3 linked regions of the Lepisosteus oculatus genome follow. The protein of the gene in region 2 interacts with the protein of the main gene of each other region in a pairwise test. Links are inferred from orthologs where the notes say so. Each region holds a gene or a part of one and is shown on either strand. Other genes may lie near its edges.

Evidence for each region. The genes of interacting proteins can lie anywhere in the genome.
Region 1: the proteins of tsr2 (region 2) and pias2 interact in binary tests that used the Homo sapiens proteins (3 or more experiments, as listed by UniProt). The two-hybrid records come from large-scale screens. The link is inferred for Lepisosteus oculatus from reciprocal best matches to the Homo sapiens genes TSR2 and PIAS2.
Region 3: the proteins of tsr2 (region 2) and rps26 interact in binary tests that used the Homo sapiens proteins (3 or more experiments, as listed by UniProt). The two-hybrid records come from large-scale screens. The link is inferred for Lepisosteus oculatus from reciprocal best matches to the Homo sapiens genes TSR2 and RPS26.

The regions. Positions count from the first base shown.
Region 1 is NC_090698.1:40,483,324-40,491,007, forward strand, and holds the start of pias2 (E3 SUMO-protein ligase PIAS2), read left to right. Parts: upstream 1-4,633; 5' UTR 4,634-4,956; coding exon 4,957-4,980; intron 4,981-5,653; exon of another isoform or gene 5,654-5,739; intron 5,740-6,554; coding exon 6,555-7,023; intron 7,024-7,684. UniProt on the Homo sapiens protein: Functions as an E3-type small ubiquitin-like modifier (SUMO) ligase, stabilizing the interaction between UBE2I and the substrate, and as a SUMO-tethering factor.
Region 2 is NC_090697.1:76,709,710-76,717,501, reverse strand, and holds the start of tsr2 (pre-rRNA-processing protein TSR2 homolog), read right to left. Parts: upstream 3,059-7,792; 5' UTR 2,700-3,058; coding exon of another isoform or gene 2,658-2,699; 5' UTR 2,170-2,657; coding exon 2,008-2,169; intron 1,388-2,007; coding exon 1,297-1,387; intron 448-1,296; coding exon 356-447; intron 80-355; coding exon 1-79. Other genes in the region: cdk16 (cyclin-dependent kinase 16), read right to left, coding at 7,604-7,792. UniProt on the Homo sapiens protein: May be involved in 20S pre-rRNA processing.
Region 3 is NC_090696.1:21,768,644-21,776,721, forward strand, and holds the start of rps26 (40S ribosomal protein S26), read right to left. Parts: upstream 3,052-8,078; 5' UTR 3,037-3,051; coding exon 2,872-3,036; intron 1,733-2,871; coding exon 1,555-1,732; intron 4-1,554; coding exon 1-3. Other genes in the region: ccdc65 (dynein regulatory complex subunit 2), read left to right, coding at 4,745-4,885, 5,778-5,945, 6,226-6,395, 6,833-6,971.

The DNA.
Region 1 (7,684 bases), on a different chromosome or scaffold from region 2:
ACAGTAAAAAAAACACAATTTAGTTTCTTTTAACTTTTTAACCTGGTGACATTCAAAAGTACAAAAATAGAAAATGATCAGATAACTTAATGTTGTATCAACATTAAGTCATCTGACCATTTTCTTTTTTTTTTACAATTTTAATCGGTTTTAAAATACGTTGAGTTTAACTTTCCTCTAGTTACCACACAGTGACAAAAGACTAATTCCAGCACCACTGCCAGTACAACACAATCTGTTTCTATCACAAATGCTCAAACTAAAGGCATGGCTGTCATGTTACGTGTTTGCATTGAAAAGCAGCAGCAGTACAATCGCTGTACTGACCGACTTGAAATTCGGCAGGTTTCTTGTCATTCATGAATACATCCCATCATATTCATTTTCAATCAAAATCCAACCAAAATATCTTATATTTTCACTACATTTCAGATATTGTATTATATAAGATCTGTATCTTGACCTGAATGAAAATAACGGTACTGAGTCTATGGCTGCTACTGTATGGCTCTCAAATCCGATTTTATGAAAAAAGATTTGTAAATCTCTTCTTCACGTGTATAGCAAATTGTACAGCTGTACAGCTGTGTGCATAGTCCTCCCGTGACCACAGTTATGGCTGTCATGTTGCATTATTTACTAGGAACATTTTCGTCAGGGACCCTTTTAGCAGATTAACAGGAAATTGAATTGTATATGCTTACATTGTACTGCCCCTAACAATGTAATTAAACATCAGGTTCTACATGAATACCTACACTAACCACCATGAGACATTCAATTTGTGGATTTTCTGCTAAAAAAGTGATTCCTATTCTCAGTGCTAAAAACACTTCCCTGTAACTTTCATTTCTGTCCTCTGTTGTGAGGTCCACTGTTGATTCTGAACAAATCCTTGAGACACTTAGTTGTTTTTGTTTCTCCAAGCATTGCTGCCACGTTCATCTCCCATCAGCTCCATTGGTTTATTTATGTTGTCTCTTAGCTTAATCATGACAATACATCAAGTGTATAAATCATAACATTATCAATTCTTTGGAGATTATGGCTTTTTAAAAACCCAGAAGGAGGAAGAATATTTGGAATGAAGCCTAGCACTTTAAGAAACAAAGGTGTCAAACTGAGGAAGCAAGGCAAGAGTATCAAGGGGAGCTTACCATGATCATATTGCACACTATAAATCAGGATGCCTCCTGAGACAAGTTGTTACCTGCTCAAGTTGTCAGAGTGTGTGGTTCCCTGATTGGCTTTGTCAGTCCCCTTCGGATTCATGGAAGAAACTCATTCTCGTGAGATGGCAAGTGAGTAACAATGTGGTGTACAGTATATGCAGAATTTGTGTTTTTGTGAAATATTAGCATTTGTACTGTACATAGTTCTATATAACTACAGTACATTATCCTTTTTTGGTACAACAATGCTGTTCTTTCTTCTTCAGGTGCTTGGTATTAAAAAGTTGAAGAAAAGATTAATTTCCCACTTCAAAGTAAAAAGAAAATAAAACTCACTTGAAGAAGGTTCCCTTGCTGTAATGGTGTGTTGTTGATTCTCTCTTCTCATTGTAGAATTTGTGAATAGTCCATCACTTGCACAAATATTGCACTGGTAAGATTAGTTCATTTTTCAGGGATGGCATAAATGTTATGTAATTCCAATTTTAAGATTTTTCTTAATTAATCCGACATTCGTTTTTTTGGTTACTGCTTAAAGAACCACTGCACGCTAGGTGTGGTCCATAAAAGGCTACAAACTGGTTATGACGATATTTTTATTTAGTTTGCCCAGAGCACCCAGTTCACTCCATTAATATTAATTTGTACTTCTAAAATAATCATGCAGTATAATTATTGTAATGCAATGCTTTATTACTTTAATAAGGTATTTTAATAAAAGACTGGAGCTGTTATCAAGCAGTTACCTGTTACCAGCATTCTTAGCATACTGTAACATGCAAATTATCTTAGATTAGACTTCAGTTATTCCATGATCAATAGTTCTAACAGAGAACAGAAGACAACAACAAAGATTATTTTACTGAGAGCTACAATTTAGACACATTTGCTAATTAGACTCAGCGGTGATATATCCTTATTAACGTAAATCAATTCAAGTGAAGAAAGGTGCAATCTGCATCTTGATTGTTTCAGTTCCTAACAGAAATTGCAGTTTACCTTGCATATTTTATTTGATTCTCATTATTTCTGATTTTCCTTCAAATGGAAAAGCTTCCTGGGTTTTGCTGACTGCAACAGTGTGTCTGTAGAAGTAAATAGTTGATATTTGTGCAGGACGGCATGCTAAATCATTCAAATGACTCTAAATAGGCCATTTTGGATACCGAATTACTGAATGCGTGCACCCTGGAATTAATTAATGGGATGAAGGGAAAACATATGCTGTAGATGCATTTCAAGCACTTAAAATCAGTCAGTAACCTTAGCCAATTAATGCAGAGACGCTTTTGAAAAGATCATTTAAAAGCATAAATTTTCTTCAGTTCTTATTCTGTGTATAGGCAACATCATGCTTATGGTTAAGGTATTCAATACTACCTTGGGGCAGTTTTTCCTCGTAGAACTAATACTGGCTATGGAACAACACAGAAATAGAAACAAATGTGCCTGATGGGTTTAACGGCCATCGAGCTCTTGTATGACCTTTCTAATGTTCTCATCCTTCTGAATGGAAACATCCCCTTTTTCTTCAGGAGAGTTTTGATTCCAGCTTTTTTTCACTGCGTTTTGCACATGTATGTCTATATCTCATAGAGTTTCAGTAATCTTGGAATACTTTTTGCTCATGGTGTGGATTTGACACCTGTGGTATAATGACACTAATATAGCCTTATTGAAGTGAACCACGTGGATTTCAAGTGCCCAGCAGAGTCTCGTTATTTTTCTCTGTCCAGTGTTGTACAGCTCTGGACTAGTTCTTCTGGAATATGTGGTCAATAATTTAGGAAAGTTCCATCATACTGTATAAATCAGAAGCTAAAGTAGTGACAAATAAATATGTTAAAGTATGTTGATGAATGGTGACTCGGTGGTGCAGATGTTGGCTTTGCTGCATTGTAGTGCTGGGGCCCTGAGTTATTGTACATGTGGTGCTATCTGTGTGGAGTTTGTATGTTCTCTTCAGCTTCATGGGGGTTTCCTCTGGGTGCTCCCCAGTGTGTCTGAAAGTGTGTGTGCAATGGACTGGCATCTCATTCAATGTTTACCTTGCCTTTCGCCTGTCAAACGCTGGCTCTGGTTCCCCGGCTACCCTGAATTGGATGAAGTGGTTGGAAAATGGATGGATTGATGGTGATGAATGTGATTTTCATCACCGTCTGATCAAATAGAAAATGCAAAATACAAACAAAACCCCATAATTATTCTATTGTTTGGCTTTGTAAATTAAATGCAGGAATTTACAGTACTGTATGTCAAGTGTATATTTTGTTTTTTTGTGCTTTGTTTTCTAAATAGCAGAACCACCAGAGCTTTGGAATATTCTATTAAGTCATTGTAGTGCACTTCTTCAGAAAGAACACTGAAACATGAACTAAACAACACAAGTGGAAACAACATGGAACAACATTGATCATTTAAAAATAATTCCAGTTATGATGTCTGTGAATTAAAAATGTGGGTGTTTACACTATGCCAATAGGTTATTTGCTGATCATTAAAATGACTCTGATTCCTTCTATTTTTTTAACAAGAAAAAGTTCTGCATGTTTTGTTGTAGCATATCCAGTTATGAGGTGATGCTCCCATCTTGTGGCAATAGGATGCACAGCAACATCTAGTTTCAGTGATGATTTCCAAAGCCTTTGTATTTGGTATCACTTTCGTATTCATTCTGGTATAGTTCTTTTGCCATAAGATAGTATATATTAGTAACGATTCTGAGCTGACTGTAGTGTGATTTTGTTTTGTAAAATGCTTAACAGAACAGAAGGAATTCATTAAGAAGTCGGTTGTGTTACAGTTTTCCGTTTAAAAAGTTTTTCAGATCTTTTTTTTTATCTGGAATGAATATAGAAAATCTTTCTTTTTGCAAGTTGGGGCTGCAGTACAGAACATTACTTATGTCAAATTCACTTTATATTGCATCTCAAATCATTATCTGCAATTTTGAGAGTGTGATTTAAAATTTGTCAAGCATTCCGCCTCTTACATTACTTGACAGATTTCAAATATTCACATATTTCATATTATTTTGATGTTTTACCATGTTGTTAGCATTTTAAATAAAGTACCTTCAAATTATTGTATAAAGATTCACATTGTTTAAATTTCTGCCAACATTTCAGTACCAATTGCCATGTAAATTATTTAAGTATTTGAAATCACTATTTTTCTTGTTTTGTTTTACAAATTGATCTTGGGCCCCATGAGGTAATCAAACAGCCATGGGTAGACCTCTTAAAGTAATCTTCTTAATTTCTTAAAGCTTCATTTGCAGGATTTTATTAATACAAATATGGGTCATTTAGAGTGATTGAATGACTTCTCATTCTGTCTTAAATGTACCAAGCCTTAATTTCCACAAGGGCTCCTCTGATTGGTGGGAGAGGGAGTACGTGGAACAGTAGGCAGTTGCTTACACAAAGAGAGAGGATTAACAAAGAAAAGAAAGAAAAGAAAATCTAGTTTTGTAGAGGATGCTGATTCAAATATCCTTCCAAAAGCCTTCTAAATGAAGCAGTGGCACTGCAAGCTACCAAAACTCTGATAATTATAATTTGCAAGACTGGCAACTTTAATGTTTTTTTGTATCTCTGCAGTTTACGATCAGAAATGGACACTTCTGCCTTCAATGTGACCAGTTCCAGTAAAGCCTTTTAGATAACATGCAATAGGCCCACGCTTTGTCCTTTCTTATGTTGCGCTTCCCAGTTCTTTCAAGGGCTCACCCTAGTCACGTGGGTGGTACCCTGGAGCGGTGCAGGATGGTCGCGGAAAGAAAATGGCGGATTTTGAGGAGCTGAGGGTAGGAGAAAGTATTAAATTAATTTCGTGTTACATAGAAAGAGCACTGAGCATCGTCGTAAAGCATTGGAATGATTGGGTATATCTGTTATGGAATCGTTACATTAGAACTGATATTTTAATTGGAGTTTACTAAGTGGAGACGTTAATGTCTGCCTCTTGTGTTTTGGTCGGAGGTTACGGTTTATTTGGTGTCTCGTAAAATAATTATATTATTAGGCCTGTTGAGTGTAACTTTTGAATTCTAATAGATGTGTCTTTAAGTACACATTTTCTGCTATTTGATTCATCATTGTTGTCGTAGATGTGTTTTTAGGTTTTATGAACGGTATTTTTTCCGCCAAAACATCTGGTCTAGACTGTTGTGTTGTACATATTTACAGCTTGTGCCAATTCTCGAAACCATGTAAGTAGCCTCTTCATCCGTATAGCAGATGCATTTCTACCGATTTCGAGATCAACCGTTTTGTCACCAGAACCGTGCAATCTGTTGTGAACTCCGTGCTTCTGATTATGGTGCCCTTTATCTCTTTATTATTCCAACTTTTAACTGTTGCTTAATCTCTGTTGCAGTGTGTTTGCGACAAGGACTGCTTACAGTACGTGTGTTGTCTGCCTTGTTTTTTTTCTTTTCCCGTTTTTAATGGGTTTTGGAATTATTCTTAACATTTTAGATGCTATACGATCACATTTGTTAAGGAAATGTAAAGAAAAAGGATTAACAAGTAAGAACAATCAAGCATGGACCATATAATGAAGGGTCAGTCGGGGTTTTCTTACTTTTTTTCTGTGGGTTTTTCAGATGGGATTTCTTGGGAGGGACGTGGTCATCAAACCACAGTTAAGGGGGAGAATTGTCAAATTGATGATGGATATTATAGATGTGTATGGGTGGAGTATAAACTACATGCCGCTCAGCGAGCAATGCAGAGCCGGTGGAACTCTACTGCTCCAGAGGTGACAGTCGTTTTCCCCCCGCCGTGCTAATAGACAAAGTACCGTTCACTCTCCTGAATGCACTCAAAATCCTGTACAGAAACCACACCTGGCTGCTTTCTAACGTCTACAGTGTGCCTTTGATGTACTTCATTTTATAAAGAATTCAAATCCGTTATTGGAGGAAATGTAAGCCTCATTCTTACATTCATACATAAGATGGCACTGAAGCATCCCTGGACTGACACAGTAAAAATAATTTAGTTGTTTGAGTATTTAATAGGAATAATTGGAGCTTCATAAGGTGCTGTCGCCGTAGAAAGTGTTTTGTACTTGTTTGTCACTTTACCCGCACATTGCTATAGTGGTGAACACTTCTAGTTCTTGAGCTCTTCAGGAGGTGGTTTAATCTCAATTAGTTCTTTGTGATGTTTTTCTTGCCTTTCTGCTTGTGATGTAAAATGATGATAAAGGAGCCCTGTAGCACAAGAGCTATGATTATTCAACACTTGTAGAGATGGTAGATTATCCTTTTATTATGGTGTCAATAGTATAATTTGCCCAGTGTTCTGCCTTGCTGAAGTTGTGCTGAACCAAATAAACACCCGTCAAATGTTTATATTTTTTGTATTTTTTCAGAATATGGTTTCAAGTTTTCGGGTCTCAGAGCTACAGGTTTTATTGGGCTTTGCAGGACGTAACAAGAGCGGTCGCAAGCATGAACTCCTTCTGAGAGCCTTGCACTTGCTAAAGAGTGGGTGCAGTCCAGCTGTTCAGATCAAAATTAAGGAACTGTATAGACGACGTTACCCCAGAACAATCGAAAGTCTCCCCGACTTGTCTGCCCTCAAGCCCTCCGGCTTCTCCCTGAATAGTAACTCTTCCCTCGTGGACCCGGACTTGGCCGGAGCCGGTGTGCATTCTCGCGCGCCTGGCTCGATCCCGCCGCACTCCGCAGCGCAGAGTCCTGTCCTGCTGCACGAGACGAAGCCCGGGATCGACATGCAGCAGCCGGCACCTCCCATCCCGCCTGTCCATCCTGACGTCCAGCTGAAAAGTTTGCCATTTTACGATGTGCTGGATGTCCTGATCAAACCCTCAAGCTTGGGTAAGCATCTGTCTCTTCTTTGCTCTGCACTGTGCATGCAAAATACTTTATTAGAAATTGCCCACTGTAATTGTAAATATAATAGAGTGCTGCTTTTAAGCAAGTAATCAATCAGTGATATTTCTTATATTTAGCTGTTTTTCTTTGCAACGCTAATTCAGATAATGACGTTCTAGAGTAAATTGTGAACAATTAGGCACTTTTGCTGGTTGTGGACTATAGGACATAAAGGAGCGTTATAATTTTATTATCTCCCTTATCTTATTTTTGAACAATCATCATACTGAATTTTGAGGGGTCTAATCAAATTTGCAAAATGAGTGAAAGCATTTCACCACGCAGTGTCTGCACTAGCAAATCTTTCCATAAGAACAATTTCTGCAAATGCAACCAGTGGCAATTTTAAGAATGTGACAGTCTCAACCCAACCTCGTGACACACGTTTTATGGCTGCACTTAGAAAAGATATTGCCTGATTATAGCTTTGGAATCATCATTGGGAAGGAGCAGTTGGCTTAATCTGTGGTGTAGGTTTGCACAACGTATGTATTTGTGCATTTTGCTATAAGAATAGAAAGAAGGCCAGCATGGAGAATGACCAGTCCCAAGAGACATCAGTAGTCTTCTTTTCACAGCTTACATTTTGGTCTGTCTTGTCAGA
Region 2 (7,792 bases):
GCTGGGCAATCCGGTCCCTCACCTCCGCCAGTTGCCCCTGCTGACACTTCCCAAACAGCTCACGCAGTTCTAGCGCCACCTATTGGACATACAGAAGAAAACAATGAGACCCTTAAGGTGACTTAAGATCTGGACAGCCTGATTTCTACAGGTCTCTCTCAATCATCCCTTACCGTTTTCACATCCACTCCAAGAGGACACAGACCCCAGAATGGAAAGTAATAGAATTTATAATTAGCAAACCTATTAATGGGTAAAAGCAATGGGTGAAATGGCAGAGCAAGGAACTGTGGGTTGCTGTTCAGCCCTGCATACTCTGTGCAGCAGCTGGTCTTATGTACAGGAGTGCGTATACCTGTGGCAGACTGCCATCCTCCACCACAGTGTCAAACTCATTGTTCATCAGCTCTGCCAGGAAGTCCTCAACCTCATCCTGCTCCAGGTCAGCTGCACAACACAGAGAACACAGCACACAGTCAGAGGAGAGGCGCTGGACGCAGAGCACACAGTCAGAGGAGAGGCGCTGGACACAGAGCACACAGTCAGAGGAGAAGCGCTGGACACGCACAGAGCACACAGTCAGAGGAGAGGTGCTGGACACGCACAGAGCACACAGTCAGAGGAGAGGCGCTGGACACGCACAGAGCACACAGTCAGAGGAGAGGCACTGGACACAGAGCACACAGTCAGAGGAGAAGCGCTGGACACAGAGCACACGGTCAGAGGAGAAGCGCTGGACACGCACAGAGCACACGGTCAGAGGAGAGGCGCTGGACACGCACAGAGCACACAGTCAGAGGAGAGGCGCTGGACACGCACAGAGCACACAGTCAGAGGAGAGGCGTTGGACACAGAGCACACAGTCAGAGGAGAAGCGCTAGACACGCACAGAGCACACAGTCAGAAGAGAGGTGCTGGACACGCACAGAGCACACAGTCAGAGGAGAGGCACTGGACACGCACAGAGGACACAGTCAGAGGAGAGGCGCTGGACACAGAGCACACAGTCAGAGGAGAGGCGCTGGACACGCACAGAGCACACAGTCAGAGGAGAGGCGCTGGACATGCACAGAGCACACAGTCAGAGGAGAGGCGCTGGACACAGAGCACACAGTCAGAGGAGAGGCGCTGGACACGCACAGAGCACACAGTCAGAGGAGAAGCGCTGGACACGCACAGAGCACACAGTCAGAGGAGAGGCGCTGGACACAGAGCACACAGTCAGAGGAGAAGCGCTGGACAGAGAGCACACAGTCAGAGGAGAAGCGCTGGTCACACAAAATAAAAACCACTCACTGTTGTCATGGAAATACTGCTGCACAGCGTCCACCATCCAATCAGCTTTCTGTCGGCTGTGTGCACCCCCAAATCCATTGTCAACCGCAATCTTAGACAAAGCAGAAGTAAACAGTCGTGACAGAAAGGGGGCTGCAGCAGTATATTAAAATAAATACTGTAGCCCCATCGCCTGGGGGCGGGACTACGGGACTGTTTATAGTGGGACGGGGGCTGGGAGACCGCTCTTCCCTTCACGTAGGTGCAGCGCTGTAACCCCTGTCCCTGTGTGTTTACCGTTCCCCGGCTCTGGTTATTAAATGTGTTGTTCAACCCCATTCCCTGAGTCATACGCCTGCTCCATTCCGTACCGAAGCCCGCGGTCTTTACAATACTTTTAAACTCAGGACTGCTTTTTAAACAGGTTGTGTTACAGTAGACTACAGTAAAAAGACGGTTAAAACATTTTTATAATAGAAAGTTACAGTAAATCAACAGCCAAATTCAATGAAATTTAAATATAATAAAGATTTATACTACAATTCACTGCTGTGTTACAGAATTTCATAGCAAATCGACCCTATTTGTGGTATCGACCGGCCAGACCGTGTTAACTCAAACACGATCATGTGTGAGTGCATTTGTCCTGACACCCCCGTTAATTAAGACTCAAAATACACCTATAGAAACGAGAAAAACTGGTTTTAAGACTGAAAGAAAAACTGTTCTCACTTGCAGCACCGGCCACGTCTCCAAAACAGCACGAACCCCCTCGGCAAAAACTTCATGTGCGGACAGAACGGGCGCAGCCATCTTGAAAACACAGGCATTAGAAGTCGATCGCTTGCATCCGCTTTGCGGCGTTGTAGGAAAACCACTCGATAGAGAAAGCATCGATCGAAAAGGAGACGTGCGTACGTAATTTTAATTTAAACATTAAATAAAAATGTTCTGTTGCTTTCCGCTCTTCTCTTCGCCAATATTCGACAAAGCTTCCGTTTAGGTAAAGACTGAGTACCTTACCAATATAATCAAAAAGGCTGAGGAAAAATCACTAGAATGAAATTTATCCTTCAGACTAACAACCCGATTTCATAGAAATATTAAATATTTAAAACCTGGGATCTTCATTCTCGCGGTTTTCATATGCTCCTTGACCCATAACCAAACAAAAAATAAAACAAGCTTTTATAAGACTTTGTTTTCATGCTATTTCTTTTTAAAGAATTCAGTAGACCCCTGGAAGATGAAGACAACACTACAGTTTGCCCTCCTTGGTACATATGCCTGAGCAGCCGAGAGATCAACCAGTGCTCACAGCACTGAAACACGCCAAGATCCCCACACTGCAACACCCACACTCAAGTCATGTATAGAGACACCTTCTGCACACCCGCTCCTTGACCATTTTCTCCAGAACACATGTGGCGTGGTTGGTGTACCAGTAGGAGGCAGAAGTATAGAATCCAGAGTCCAGATGTGTCCAAACGTTCTGAAAATGTCTCTCAATCAGCCCTCACTGTTCTCACATCCACTGCACCCTGCAACATTCTGAGACCTCAGAAATAAAGTTGGAGAGTTTAGCAAGCTTATTTATAGGTAAAAGAAAAAATACCTCCTGGACAGGACATCTACACTAGTGTCCACTAATGGTGTTGCTTTAGTACTGCTGTCTGAAAAGACCTTGTAAACCTGTAAACACAGTGTCCAGCCCTCCAGGGCCAGGACTGGACAACCCTTGGTGCAGACACACTGACCATCCCTCCAGGACCAGGACTGGACAGCCCTTGGTGCAGACACACTGACCATCCCTCCAGGACCAGGACTGGACAGCCCTGCTGCAGACATACTGACCAGCCAAAAACAAAAGTTGCACAGATCCAGCTTCACTCCTTCAAAGTTTTTAATAGCTCTTACAATGTACATTAGACATGTAGATTATTTTTTACAGATTGCATACTATGAACATTTCTAAAACATTTAATTAAAAAATGTCCAAAGAAAAAACAAACAAACAAACAGATAAGCAACAAATGCATCATTGTCAAATTGAATAAAAAAATTACAATAACTTACAAATTCATTGCTTGTAACCAGCTTGTGTGGGGTGGTAATGGAAGCTGAAATGTGGGGTGCATGATGTGTTTGGTTTGCACACCTACATCATTCACAGAGCATTACAGCTCTATTGCTTTGTACAAAATCCTACAGCGAAGGTGGTTAAGTGGACATTCTGACTGCCCCATGTACAGTAGGATTCCTTACTGCAGTATCCTTCTGTTCATAGTCATACGTGCTACATTGAATGATATTCAGGTGACCTTCGACCTCCTGAAACACATGGCCCGTGCTCTAAGGTAATGGTGATGTCAGAAGGGATGTATGACCATGAGTGACAGCTGGAACAGTGCGTCTTACTGGATTGAACAGGAAATTCTGAATTGTCCTTAGCGCCTTAAGGAAACTATTCACTCAGATGCAGCTAAACAGCAGGAAGTACCACGGCAGCGATGGACATCTTTCAGAACCACAGCCTGACTCAATCGGACAGGGAGGGAACCCCCCTCCAAACGTACCAGGAGTACAGTAGACCAGTACAGCTGTGGAGCTTATACTGACGATCTATACTGCGTGTGCACCGAAAAACAGATTTCAGAGCTTTTTAGCTTGCTTACAGTACATCTTTGCTGAACTACTCCTAAGCTCCAAATCAAACTCCCAGCTTCAGTTTTCCAAAACTGCTTCAACTGTAAAAAAAAAGAAGGAAGAAATGTCTTTTTTCACACCTTTGGCTTTTCTTGGTTGATGTTGCACCCCTTAAAACACACATGACGACTTTCAGGATGCAGGGGAAGCGTGTATTGCTTTTGAGAAGACAAGGTCACCTTGCAAGTATTTGCTCAAAATGCAAACAGGGTCAAGACAACACAAAACACCTTGCAGAACGGCTACAGGTGCAACAACAGTTTTGGGGAATAGCTAAGAATTGTTCACCGCTCAGCCAAGAGCTTTTGGGGTATTCAGACTGCTCAGTGAACTGAAGCATGTTCAGCATGCCCTGACAGGTCCCCCTAGTACATACTGAGCAGTGTTGTCTGGCCCAGTGGTCCCCAACCCTTTGGGGTACAGGGGAAAGTTATTCACCCCCCGATTACTGTGGGAATAACTGGCCTTGGAAAAACAAAATCCTAGAGTCATGCCATCACAGACATATGCAAGGCTGTTACAGCACCCTCAACAGCGACACCAAGTGGCCAGGACGAGAAACTGCAGTATCGCCCATCTGAATCCATTACTGGCTGAACAGAGTCACACTCATCACAGCATCTTGTGGTTTTACTGTAGTAAAAACACAGTAAAATGTAGTACAGAGCAAATCAGACCACTAAAAAGCAAATACAGGTGGCCAGCATGAAGGACCAGGCCCAGGCAGAAATACTGTGAAAAGTTCCCCATATTCAGCTCCTACAGGAGACACCACTGGGAGGGGCAGAAGTGCTAGGGCCAGGGCCACACACACTCAACACCGTGGAACAGATCTGGTGCGGAGAGGACAGCGAGGACCGCAACGATCTGGGCCTGCAGCTCTGGCTGTGCTGCGTCTCCGGCCTCAGTGACGAGATGTGGAAATATCCCGCCGGACAGGAGAAGCACATGATCCCCTGCTGCCGACACAATTACATCTTCGGCCTACGCAGCAGCAGCACAAGAAGATTGGGACACTTCACAATAGACTTCAGAGTTTCCCGGTGTCATCTTCTTTTTGTAAACAGAAGTGGACACAGGTGCTGACCCAGCCAGGACAGTGACCTGATTCTAACTCTACAAACCCATCACAGCTCAGGATTGTCTGCATTTAAAGAGAGAGGAAAAAACAAACAAACAGGCACACATCACACATCTGGGGGCTGTAGGAGTTTGGAACAAGCCGTCCAGCCATGTTGCTGAACCTGATAACCTGGCTTCTTCCAGGAAACAACTAGATGAGATCTGCTAATCAGGACAGCATTTACACAAAGAGTTGTCTCATGTTCTCATGTCCAAGACACCTGCGTGTGAAAAGCCGTCCCTCAGGAAGAAAGAGAAGCCACTCAGTCCTTTGCTCAGCAGTGCTGAGGCTGCACATCCCTCACCCCTCCCTCTTTCGGGAAGACGTACAGTGCAACCTGCCTGCCTTCGCTCTTCCAAGCTGTGTCCTTGGTCACTCTGCTGCCCCCCTCTTCCTCAATCTTTTCAACAACCTGCCCCCCCCCCATCGGTGATTTTTAAACTACCTGTAGGTCCGGCTGGTATGAAAAAGGGAATCGGAGAAAAACAATCGAAACGATGATTGCAGGAGTCACACTAATGGTGGATAAGGAAGTCATGCGGGCTCGAAAGAGTCACAGTATGAGCAATTCTCTTTAGGGCTTCTACCAGCAGGGCTGACTGTGGGAGTATCTGCACCCTGCAGGGCCAGAGGGAGAGGTCCAGTCTGTCTGTCCCCACCTGCGCTCACCAGTGTCCACGTTTACTTGTACCCCTGCCGAACCTCTCACCACAGGATAAGCCAGGAATTCCACCCGGACACAGAGAGGGGTTAAAAGTCAACCGAAAGGGCTACAGCACGTCAGCATCTGCCTTCTCCTGTGCTGCAGCCATCAGCACACAATACCACACAGGTCAATACTCGGATACAACAGCACAACACAGGGGCCACTGGCAGGCAAGGTCAGGAGCAACTGCAGCTCGTGATACAGTGTTTGTAGTGTCTCATCTCCCTGATTGATCTCCCCATTTCTACACTCGGACACGCGATGAAAACTAAACGAGAACGAGTCTGCAAACTCTGGATGAAAAAAAGATCAGTTTCACAGACACATTACTTTGGCCATTGACGGTTATATTGCTTCAAAGAAGGCAGACGGGGAACTCCACAGTCTGGCCCAAATACAACAGGCATGACGTGACGATGGAGCAGACCATCTGAGCTACTGCTGAGCCCTGTCCACTACAGGCCCGCCTGAGGCAGAGCCCAGAGCCGGACACAGCCCGTCTTCCACACACTGAACAAGCAATGCAAGGGCTAACATACAGCAGGAAACACCACTGACTATCCTGAACGTCTGTGCCCTGGGGAGGCCTTGAGTGCCAAACGAATCCTGACAAGTGCAGGTCAGCTCCATTCCCTGCTTACTGGTGCTGCATACACCCCCTCACCTCAGAGACGCTCATTTTAAAAGGGCAGGGCTCCAGTAGTGTGGCTTGACTGGAGTTTCAATGATACACCGAGATGGTCTGGGGTGTGTAAAGAGGCAGGGGAGCCCCAATGTGCACTGAGAGAAAGACAAACCCCCTCCCTCAATTCTCCCTAAGGCTAAGCCCCTCCAGACACCCCCATAATCACAGAGCAGCCCCCCCAGAGCTCAGTACCATCCTTTAAAACATCAAACAGAAATGCCATCATCACTGCCAAGAGAGAAACAAAAATCCTGTTGCAATGGCATCAAATTAACTTTTTTTTTTCTTTAAAACATACAACCAGACATGAAAGTACAACACTCCTCATCAGAAGTCTTCTAATGAGAAGAACATAAAAAATTATATTCTCGGATCTTCACATCATGTTGTTGGGAGTCTCCCACTGTTTCCGCTGTGGATAAGATCAGGGGCACTGTGTCCCAGGTGGACCCTGCACGCCTCCCCTCAGAGGTGCCCCCACAGTCATGAAGGTGCAACACCCAGGACTGTGTCAAAACCCCACTGGCATCTGTTCCCTGCAGTTCACCACTAGTGCATGACCCTGGCACCCCACTGGACTGAGCCCCACAGTGATGGGGTTCCACACCACGTCAGACACATGACGGCTACTGTCTGCTTCACAAGCTGCTGGGGGGGCCCCACATCTTTACACTTATATAGTGCCTTTCTGGACACTCCACTCAAAGCGCTTTACAGGTAATGAGGAATCCTACTACCGCCACCAATGTGCAGCCCCCAAATGGAGAATCTGCCAGTGGGCTCCCCACACACCAGCTCTCAGAGGGGGGGGGAGAACAGAGTGATGAAGCCAGTTCAGAGATGGGGGTTATTAGGAGGCCATGGTTGGCAAAGGCCAATGGGAAATTTGGCCAGGACACTGGGATTACACCCCTGCTCCTTTCCAAAATCCCTGGGAGAAGGTGCTCAGGGAGGAGAGTCAGGTCAAATTGGAGAGACAGCCCCAGTCTTTCTGCAGGAGACACAGGGGGAGTATAGGAAGACAGGAGAGAGTGAGGAAAGAAGTGAGCATTTAGAGGGAGAGTGGCGCCTGTCCCCCAAACTCCCCTTCACATCTCTCAACCTCACCTCAAAGGACACATGGGATGAGCCAACTGCCCCCACCGAAACCACCCCACATGTCAGTCTGGGCACCCCCAAAAAGCACCACAACGCTTCTTGAAAAAAAAAAAACAATGAAAGTATCCGATGTGAATGTGATGTATCCCCAGAAGACGAACAGGGCGTCTCTCCCTGGTTCTCCCCTTGTCTTCACGGT
Region 3 (8,078 bases), on a different chromosome or scaffold from region 2:
AGGCTACGAGGGAGAGGAGAGGGGAGCGGTTACACAGCGCCGCTGCTGGCACTAAGCGGGCAGAAGGCTGCCCCATTATTAGCATTAAGATTCAACAGTGCTATGTGTGTGTGCTGTGCCTACAGTAACACAGCCTTGCTCTACAGACCTCCTGCCTCAAGCATGTTTTATTTCAAATGGAGTCCGAGCACACCGGACCAAGACTTGCATAAAGCCAAACCTCCCCAATAATATGTGAAAAATCAGAGACCAGGAAACATTACTTTCCTCACTTTATCCTTAGATCAGTACAACCCCAAGGAAATCAAGAGTGTGAACTCAGGGAGTCTCTCCCCCACCGGAGTTTTTTGGATTAACTTCCGAGCAACCAGGCGACCAGCTTATTTTAGGGATCCAGGCACATCACTGCAGATCTCTTACAGTCAATTCTGAAAACCATCACCTGCCCCCAAGTGCCTCCTGCACTGCAGAGGACACCACTGGAAAAGGGTTAGCCTATTCTGGCCTCAGAGGAGCGAGCGCAGGCCAGGACACGGACCGTTTCAAGGCTCTACTGCCCCCTACTCCTCTGCAGCATGAGGAACGGGCCTCTTGTCAAACTCTTCAGGCAGACTACAGGGAGTCCTTCAAGGATCTGCTCGTCTGGATCAATAAGCTACTGACAAGCAAATGAGTGAGGCAGGCTGAATACTCTCCTGATTCTACATAACCCTTTTAGCTAAACAGACCAATAATGTGACGGTCTTTCCTGACCTTCACTGTATAACATGCTATCCTGGAGCTCTCAGCCCCTGCCAAGCGCACTCAGCCCTGTAGAGAGGCGCTGCAATCTTAACAGCAACTGAATTAAAAAGCACCCTCGTAGAAAAATCAGAGCACTGCACAAAGCCTAAAACCCATAAGACCTACAAGGAAAAAGCCACATTAATTTACTACTTCATGCAATTCAGGCCTTGGGGGGAGCCAGAGCCTGTCCCAGCAAGCAACAGGTGAAAGTCAGTGCACACCCTGGATGGGATGCCAGTGCATGACAGGGCAGACACACCCACTCACACCAGGAACAAGACAAATAATCTTCCAGCCTGTCTTTGGACTGCGGGAGGAAACCAGAGCACCTGGAAAAAACCCACACAAACCTGAGGAGAACATACAGACTCCACACAGATAGCAGTAAAAAGCCAAACTGAAACATCCAAGCTCCAACTTCAACATGTAGGATGAGGACACCCATCTCTGCTTACCTCACACTGATTGGACTGCAGAAACCTTATATACCACTCACAGAGCCCTGGAACCCTGCCACGCGAGCACGGCCCCTCGGACCCCTCCTGTTGACCCCTGATGCCATTCCAGCATTTTATCTGCTGTCGTCTTCCCAGGAAAAACTGTCCTCAGACACAATCAAATGCTACAGATTCCAAACCGGGCGACGGACCTGAAATGCCCGGAGTGTCTGGGAGGACTGAGCAGTCTGCCAAACGCCACGCCAGACCCAAACGGCCGACCGCGGCACTCCCAGCTCCCCCGCTGCCGGACCCCAGCCCAGGCACTCACAGTCGAAGACGCTGGCCTCGGAGATGTCCCTGACGGCCGCCGCCTCCACGATGTTCCGGATGACGAACTTCTTGATGGCCTTGTCCTTGGGCACGCAGCGGGCGCAGTTGGTGCAGCGGATGGGCTGGACGTGCCCACGGCCCTTCTTGGCACGGCCGTTGTTCCTTCGCTTCTTGGTCTGCCGGGGAAAGGAGAGGAGGCTCATCTCACTCGGGGCAGAGGAATGCTCCAATACTATACATTCCTATATAGTGCCTTTCAGTACAGAGCACTCTCTAGGGAACTTGACACTGATCACACAATAGTTCAAGCAGGTAGCTGTGCCAGCAGGCACAGGCTGCTAAGGAACAGGTACGGGTTTATTCTAGGCTGAAAATAGAAGAAAAACAACACGACACCCGGAGAAGGCTCCAGAGCTAAAACGTTTTTCTGTTCTTTTCACCATGGAATAAACCTCTACTTGCTCCTTTGCTAATTACGGAGAAATTAAAAAAACGGGTAAGGAATGAAAGCCCATGGAAAACGGAGGGTTTTCAAGTCTCGTCTTAAACATCAACAGAGTCTACACCTTCCTACAGGGGGCCTCACAGACCGACCGAGGACAGCTGGAGAAGGATCTCAGGCCCTGCCAGGCGACCTCCTCTGCAGTGCGCCCGAATCCACTACGCCGGCACTCCCACAGAGCGGCGGGCAAAGTGAATAGCTGAAACACTGAATAGCATTTCCACTTTGCGGCGGCTTAATGAACAAAGATCGCACTCACTAAGCCGAGGTCATATTCAACACCGCACAGACGGGCTAACGCTGGAAGTCGTAGTCAAGCGACTACAATCCGCCCAGATCGTCCTGCCCGGTTTTACACCGCAGCTTGACGCCCGGCTTCAAACCGAAGAGACGCAGACGGAATACCCTCTCGTTAAACTGCGACAAACTCATTATTCTCATTACTAGCCTATCCGTAAGACAAACCAGGCACTTCTCGATCACTTTCCGCTACATGGCAATTTTTAAATTCCCTCAGGTTCACAAAACGGGTCAACACACGTATCGCGCTCTTCGATGGTCAAAGAGAAGATATATTTTTTCTCCGCCTCTCTCCTACACGAGGCCCAGAAGCAATCCTCCACGCGTCTACCCTTCCTTCCGCGCTGACCGCAACGCATTTTGTGCCAGAACTTCTTCTCCCTCAAACTCGGCATCGGACGCCGTTTATACTTTCTACTTTTGCAAAAAGACGGGAAATACAAGAGTATTTTGTGATTTTTAACCATTTTTCACCCTACAGAGGGCCCAGACGCGCCGCTGTGCCTCACTCACCATCTTGAACAGGAGGCTAGAAAGAGGACCGGCTTCCGCAGCTCCGCCGAATTTATACTCCTCCTCCGCACGGACTATTCCTCCGTTTTTCGGGACCCCAAGAGCTCCAAATGTGTTTATTTTTTTCCGAAACGTGTGAAAAATAAGTCCCACATATATACACATGAGAGAACAGTATTATGGTTAATTATCAGTGATACATGTTTATGAAGGAGCGGACTGTTTTCTCTCGGAAGGATCCCAAGAGCGGACCTTTGAACGTGAGTGGTGTGTTCCTATCCCACAGTGCACCATGAACAGGTCCTCACCATAGATATCTAAATTTTTTGAGTATTGTTCGTTTTCTTTGAGAGCTCCCATAATAATAAAAAAAGTCCAGTAATGTTTTTCTTATCTTTTTCCTATCTTCAATGAACGAAAAATCACATTATGGACCATATACGGTACACTAATATGAAAGGATAGTTCAAGTAACACACACGAAGGCTCCACAGCTGTAACTTTGTTTCTTTTCTTTTCAGTATGGAATAAACCTTTACTTGTTCCTATTTAAGGATAGTTCTAATATGATGCTGTACAGTGTACAGAGGTGAACAACAGTAATATTCAGTAAACACATGTTTACACAGAACACAGAGCTCCAGAACAGTACAGTGGAATACAGCGCACCACAAGCGTGCGGTACAGGGGTCTGAAACAGTACAGTACAGTACAGTACGACAGGAGCGGGCGGTACAGGGGTCTGAGACACAGTACAGTACAGTACGACAGGAGCGGGCGGTACAGGGGTCTGAAACAGTACAGTATGGGAGTGAGAAACACATGACAATGAAATACAGTGCAGTAGCTCCCACCCAGGTGTGCTCTGAATCGGGGAGCTGTATGAATTCGTTTACCGAGTCGCGGTTCTTGGAGAAGCGGTTTTCCCTTATTCCCACGCATTCAGACAGGTGAGCGGATCTCAGGCTGCAGCTGTCCCGGCTCGCAGAGAACACAATCAGCTACAGCAACAACCCAAACCGTGCCTCGCTATCATTTATAAAAAACCTTATACATTGAGAACTACATAGAATGTGATAAGTTTAACTGAGTACAACAGAATCGAATTATTAACACGGGGACAATGTACCCACAAGCAGTTGACGATCTGTCAAAGTTTAAAAGTAACAATAAGACCGCGCACCCTAGATTAAAATGAACATTTCCCTTAATTTCAAAATAAAGAACTACTGACGGCAGAAATGTTTTTTAAAGTGCAGTGAAAACCGCTCATTTTTCAATCTCCCTCCCGCGTCTCCCTACTCTAGACCCGGACTGTGGTGTCGCTGCAGTACCACCTTCGCGCGTTAGGTGGCGCCACACAAATTGGGAACGCCAGACGTCGCGCAGGCCGTTGCTAGGAGACGAGTGTAAACTGAAGGCAGCGGACCGGTCAGTTCCCTGGGCTCGGCTCTCCGGACATTCAGGTAAAAACAGTCGCCTGCACATATTACGGCTACAGTACACACACCGTTCAGAACACTACTAAATACACCTGTCACAGACATCTTTTACTGCGGGCGTATTGCGCTGGTTATCGACCGTGCACCGACGGTAGGGTTTCATCTGTGGAAATGTTTGGCAAATAGATATGCAATTCTGTACCATGCGTCCTAGTTACAGAAACGAACCGAATGTAATAAATATCTTTTTTTATATCATTGTTCAATGGCTTCTTCAAACATACATGCGTGTACTTAAACATGCAGCGGCGACAGCTGCTCCAAGCGCTGGAGCTTGTAAAGCAGCGCAGTCATTTCTGGATCTCGGACGGGGAGCGAGGTGAGGCCCTGACCGGCCGGGCAGAGGGCAGAGGTGCCCGGTGAGCAGCGAGATGCCGAAGAAGGGCGGGAAGAAGGCCGGGAAGCTGGCAGCCATGAGCGAGGAGGAGCGTCTGCTGTTCCTGCAGCAGAAGGCCCTGGCGGAGGAGGAGCTCAGCAAGAGGAAGGAGGACATGCTGACCCAGTTCCTCAAGGTGGGGGTGTTAGCACTGTACCCCCCTAAGCCCAGCACAGAGCACAGCCCCGAGCTAACTACAGCACAGAGTACAGTCCCCCTGAACCCAGCACAGAGCACAGCCCCGAGCTAACTACAGCACAGAGCACAGCCCTGAGCTAACTACAGCACAGAGTACTGTCCCCCCTCAGCCCAGCACAGAGCACAGCCCCGAGCTAACTACAGCACAGAGTACAGTCCCCCTGAACCCAGCACAGAGCACAGCCCCGAGCTAACTACAGCACAGAGCACTGCCCCGAGCTAACTACAGCACAGAGTACAGTCCCCCTGAACCCAGCACAGAGCACAGGCCTGAGCTAACTACAGCACAGAGTACAGTCCCCCTGAACCCCGCACAGAGCACAGCCCCGAGCTAACTACAGCATAGAGCACAGTCACCCCTTAGCCCAACACAGAGCACAGCCTGAACGAACTACAGCACAGAGTACAGTCCCCCTGAGCACAGCACAGAGTACAGTCACTCCTTAGCTCAGCACAGAGCACAGCCTGAACTAACTACAGCACAGAGTACAGTCCCCCTGAGCACAGCACAGAGCACAACACTGAGCATAGCCCAAGGTAACTATAGCACTGAGCACAGCACAGAGCACAGTCCCCCTGAGCACAGCACAGAGCACAACACTGAGCACAGTCCCCTTGTCTCTCTTAATCTCTCTGTCCCCCTATCCCAGCTGATCCCTGTCCTTGTTCTCCTCAGTCTCTCTGTCTCCCTATCCCAGCTGATCCCTGTCCTTGTTCTCCTCTGTCTCTCTGTCCCCCTCTCCCAGCTGATCCCTGTGCGTGTTCTCCTCGGTCTCTCTGTCCCCCTCTCCCAGCTGATCCCTGTCCTTCTCTGTCCCCTCTGCCCCCAGGACAAGCTGCAGAAGGAGGAGCGCAGCACTGCAGTGAACCTGGCCAAGCTGACGGTCCAGTGGCGGGCAGTGCTGCGCCGGGCTCGGGCAGAGGAGCTGCGCCGGGACATTGCTGTGCTCAGCCAGACCTTCGAGAGGGTGCTGGACCGCAAGGACAGCGTCATCAAGGTGGGCTGTCCCGGGGCTCAGAGCCACTAGCATTGGGTCAGGTCGTACTTTCGACTGGGAGCTCAGGGAGTCATGGAGAGGGACTGTCTGCTCTGCTACTGACTCTCTGTGTGAACCCTCTCGTGCTCCATCTTTCGGATGAGACCTTTGAGCAAGGTCCTGCTGTCGGTGGTATCTGCAGCAGTATCCGAGCTGAGGCCAGTGTGACAGCTCTGAGGGGATCTGTGTGGACAGCAGTGTCAGCTCAGAGCCTGCTAACGAAAGCCGCTGTGCCCGGCAGTCCCTGGTGAGCGACCTGAACGAGGCAGAGGAGCAGTCCGCCAAGGCCCTGCGCTCCCAGCTGCGGTGTGTGGACCGGCTGCTGCTGCTGCAGCGGGGGCGGCTGCAGGCACTCGAGCAGCACTGGGACAGCGAGCTGGAGGCTCTGAGCGCGGAGTTCAACACCGAGAGGTAGCTCTCTCCTCTCTGTCTGCTTCTCCTTTCCCTCTCCTTCACCTCTCCTCTTGTCCCTCCTTCTCTGTCTTCCTTTACCTCTCCTTTTCTCCCTCTGTCCTCTTCCTATCTCCTTGTGTCTGTCTCCTTCTCTCAATTCCCTCCTTCTTCTCTCTCTGTCTCCTTATCTCTCCTCCCTGTCTCCTCCCTCTCTCTTTATCTCTCTACCCTTGCTGTCTCCTCTGTCGGCCTCCTCTCTGCTCCCTCGCTGTCTCCTCCGTCTGTCCCCTCCCTGTCTCCTCCCTCTGTCTCTTTATCCTCACTACCCTCTCTGTTTCATCCGTCTGCCTCCTCTCTCCTCCCTCGCTGTCTCCTCCACCTGTCTCCCTCTCTCTCAGCCCTCCCTGTCTCCTCCCTCAGTCAGCCCTGACCGCGTGTGGTGTGTGTATGAGCAGGGAGCTGATCATGGCCCAGCAGCAGCAGGAGTGCTCCTACCTGGAGGATGTGATGTTCTCCATGGAGCAGAACTTTGCCGAGCTGGACAGCGATGCGCGGCAGGACTATCAGAGCACGCGTGACGAGATCAAGAACAAGGTGACTGGCTGGGCTGTACTGGGTGTACTGGGATTGTGCAGTGGATACGGTGGCAGTGGGGCAGGAGCCAAGTCTCCTCAGCCCAGGCTGATTCTGCATCCTCCAGTATAAATCCTCTAGAGGGAAACCAGCTTCCTAAGCTGTTTATTTCTGTCTGTTTATTTCTTCAAACACTTGCAGCACGTGCCAAGTTTCAGGTTACAGAGCCAAATGAAACTAAAACCTAGCTGCGCCGAGCCATGCTTAGAATTTCTCCAGCTATACAACAGTCATTGGTGCCCTCTTTTCAAAATTTTTTAGGTCCTCATTAAAAAACTTTCACCTAAAGAAAGTATGTCCTGCCCCCTGATTGTTACCTTTATTAGTGGCAAGAACAGTAAAGCACTTCTTACAATCACTGTGGCTTCATACTGTTATTGAGTTCCATCATATTGCACTGCTTCTAATGAAGCTGACAGTGTTTTCAACATCCAGGGAAACACTCTGTAAACATGTGGCACAGAAAATATTCTCTTCTAGTTGCTTCTAGGTGACAATCAGATAGTTTTGGTGAATTCAAAATCAGAAGTCAAACAAAGTGCAGATACTGGGATTGTGCACTGAAATAAACTATATATGCCTCCCGTTCAGTTTGCCCATTGTCATCTCATTCTACTAATGGCCAAAGTGAGCCATGGTTTATTATCTCAAATGATCATACAAAAGCCCCAAGAGTGACAGACTTTGTGCATTTATAGCCTCAAAGGTATATGCAGCTCAGTACTAACTTCCAATATACACTCTGAAAGATGCAGTGCAGTATATGACGTGCACGTGTCCCCATATGGTATCTTAAGCTGTCAGTGGTATAATTCTTAGTGAAACTCTCTGAAGATGCTTTGTTGAACATAACATGTTTTGTTTTCTAATAAGATCACATGTACACCTAGAATGACCAAAACAGAAAAAAACATATATTGTACTTCTCTCATATCATCTCAACACATACAAATTTCTTGATTGTAAGAAATAACCATCATTGCCATCTTGGTGCTCTTTGGGCATGTATATTTCAGCTACAACCCTGCACTGTGGGTGGAATTCAGTAGACAAAAACAATTGACTCTA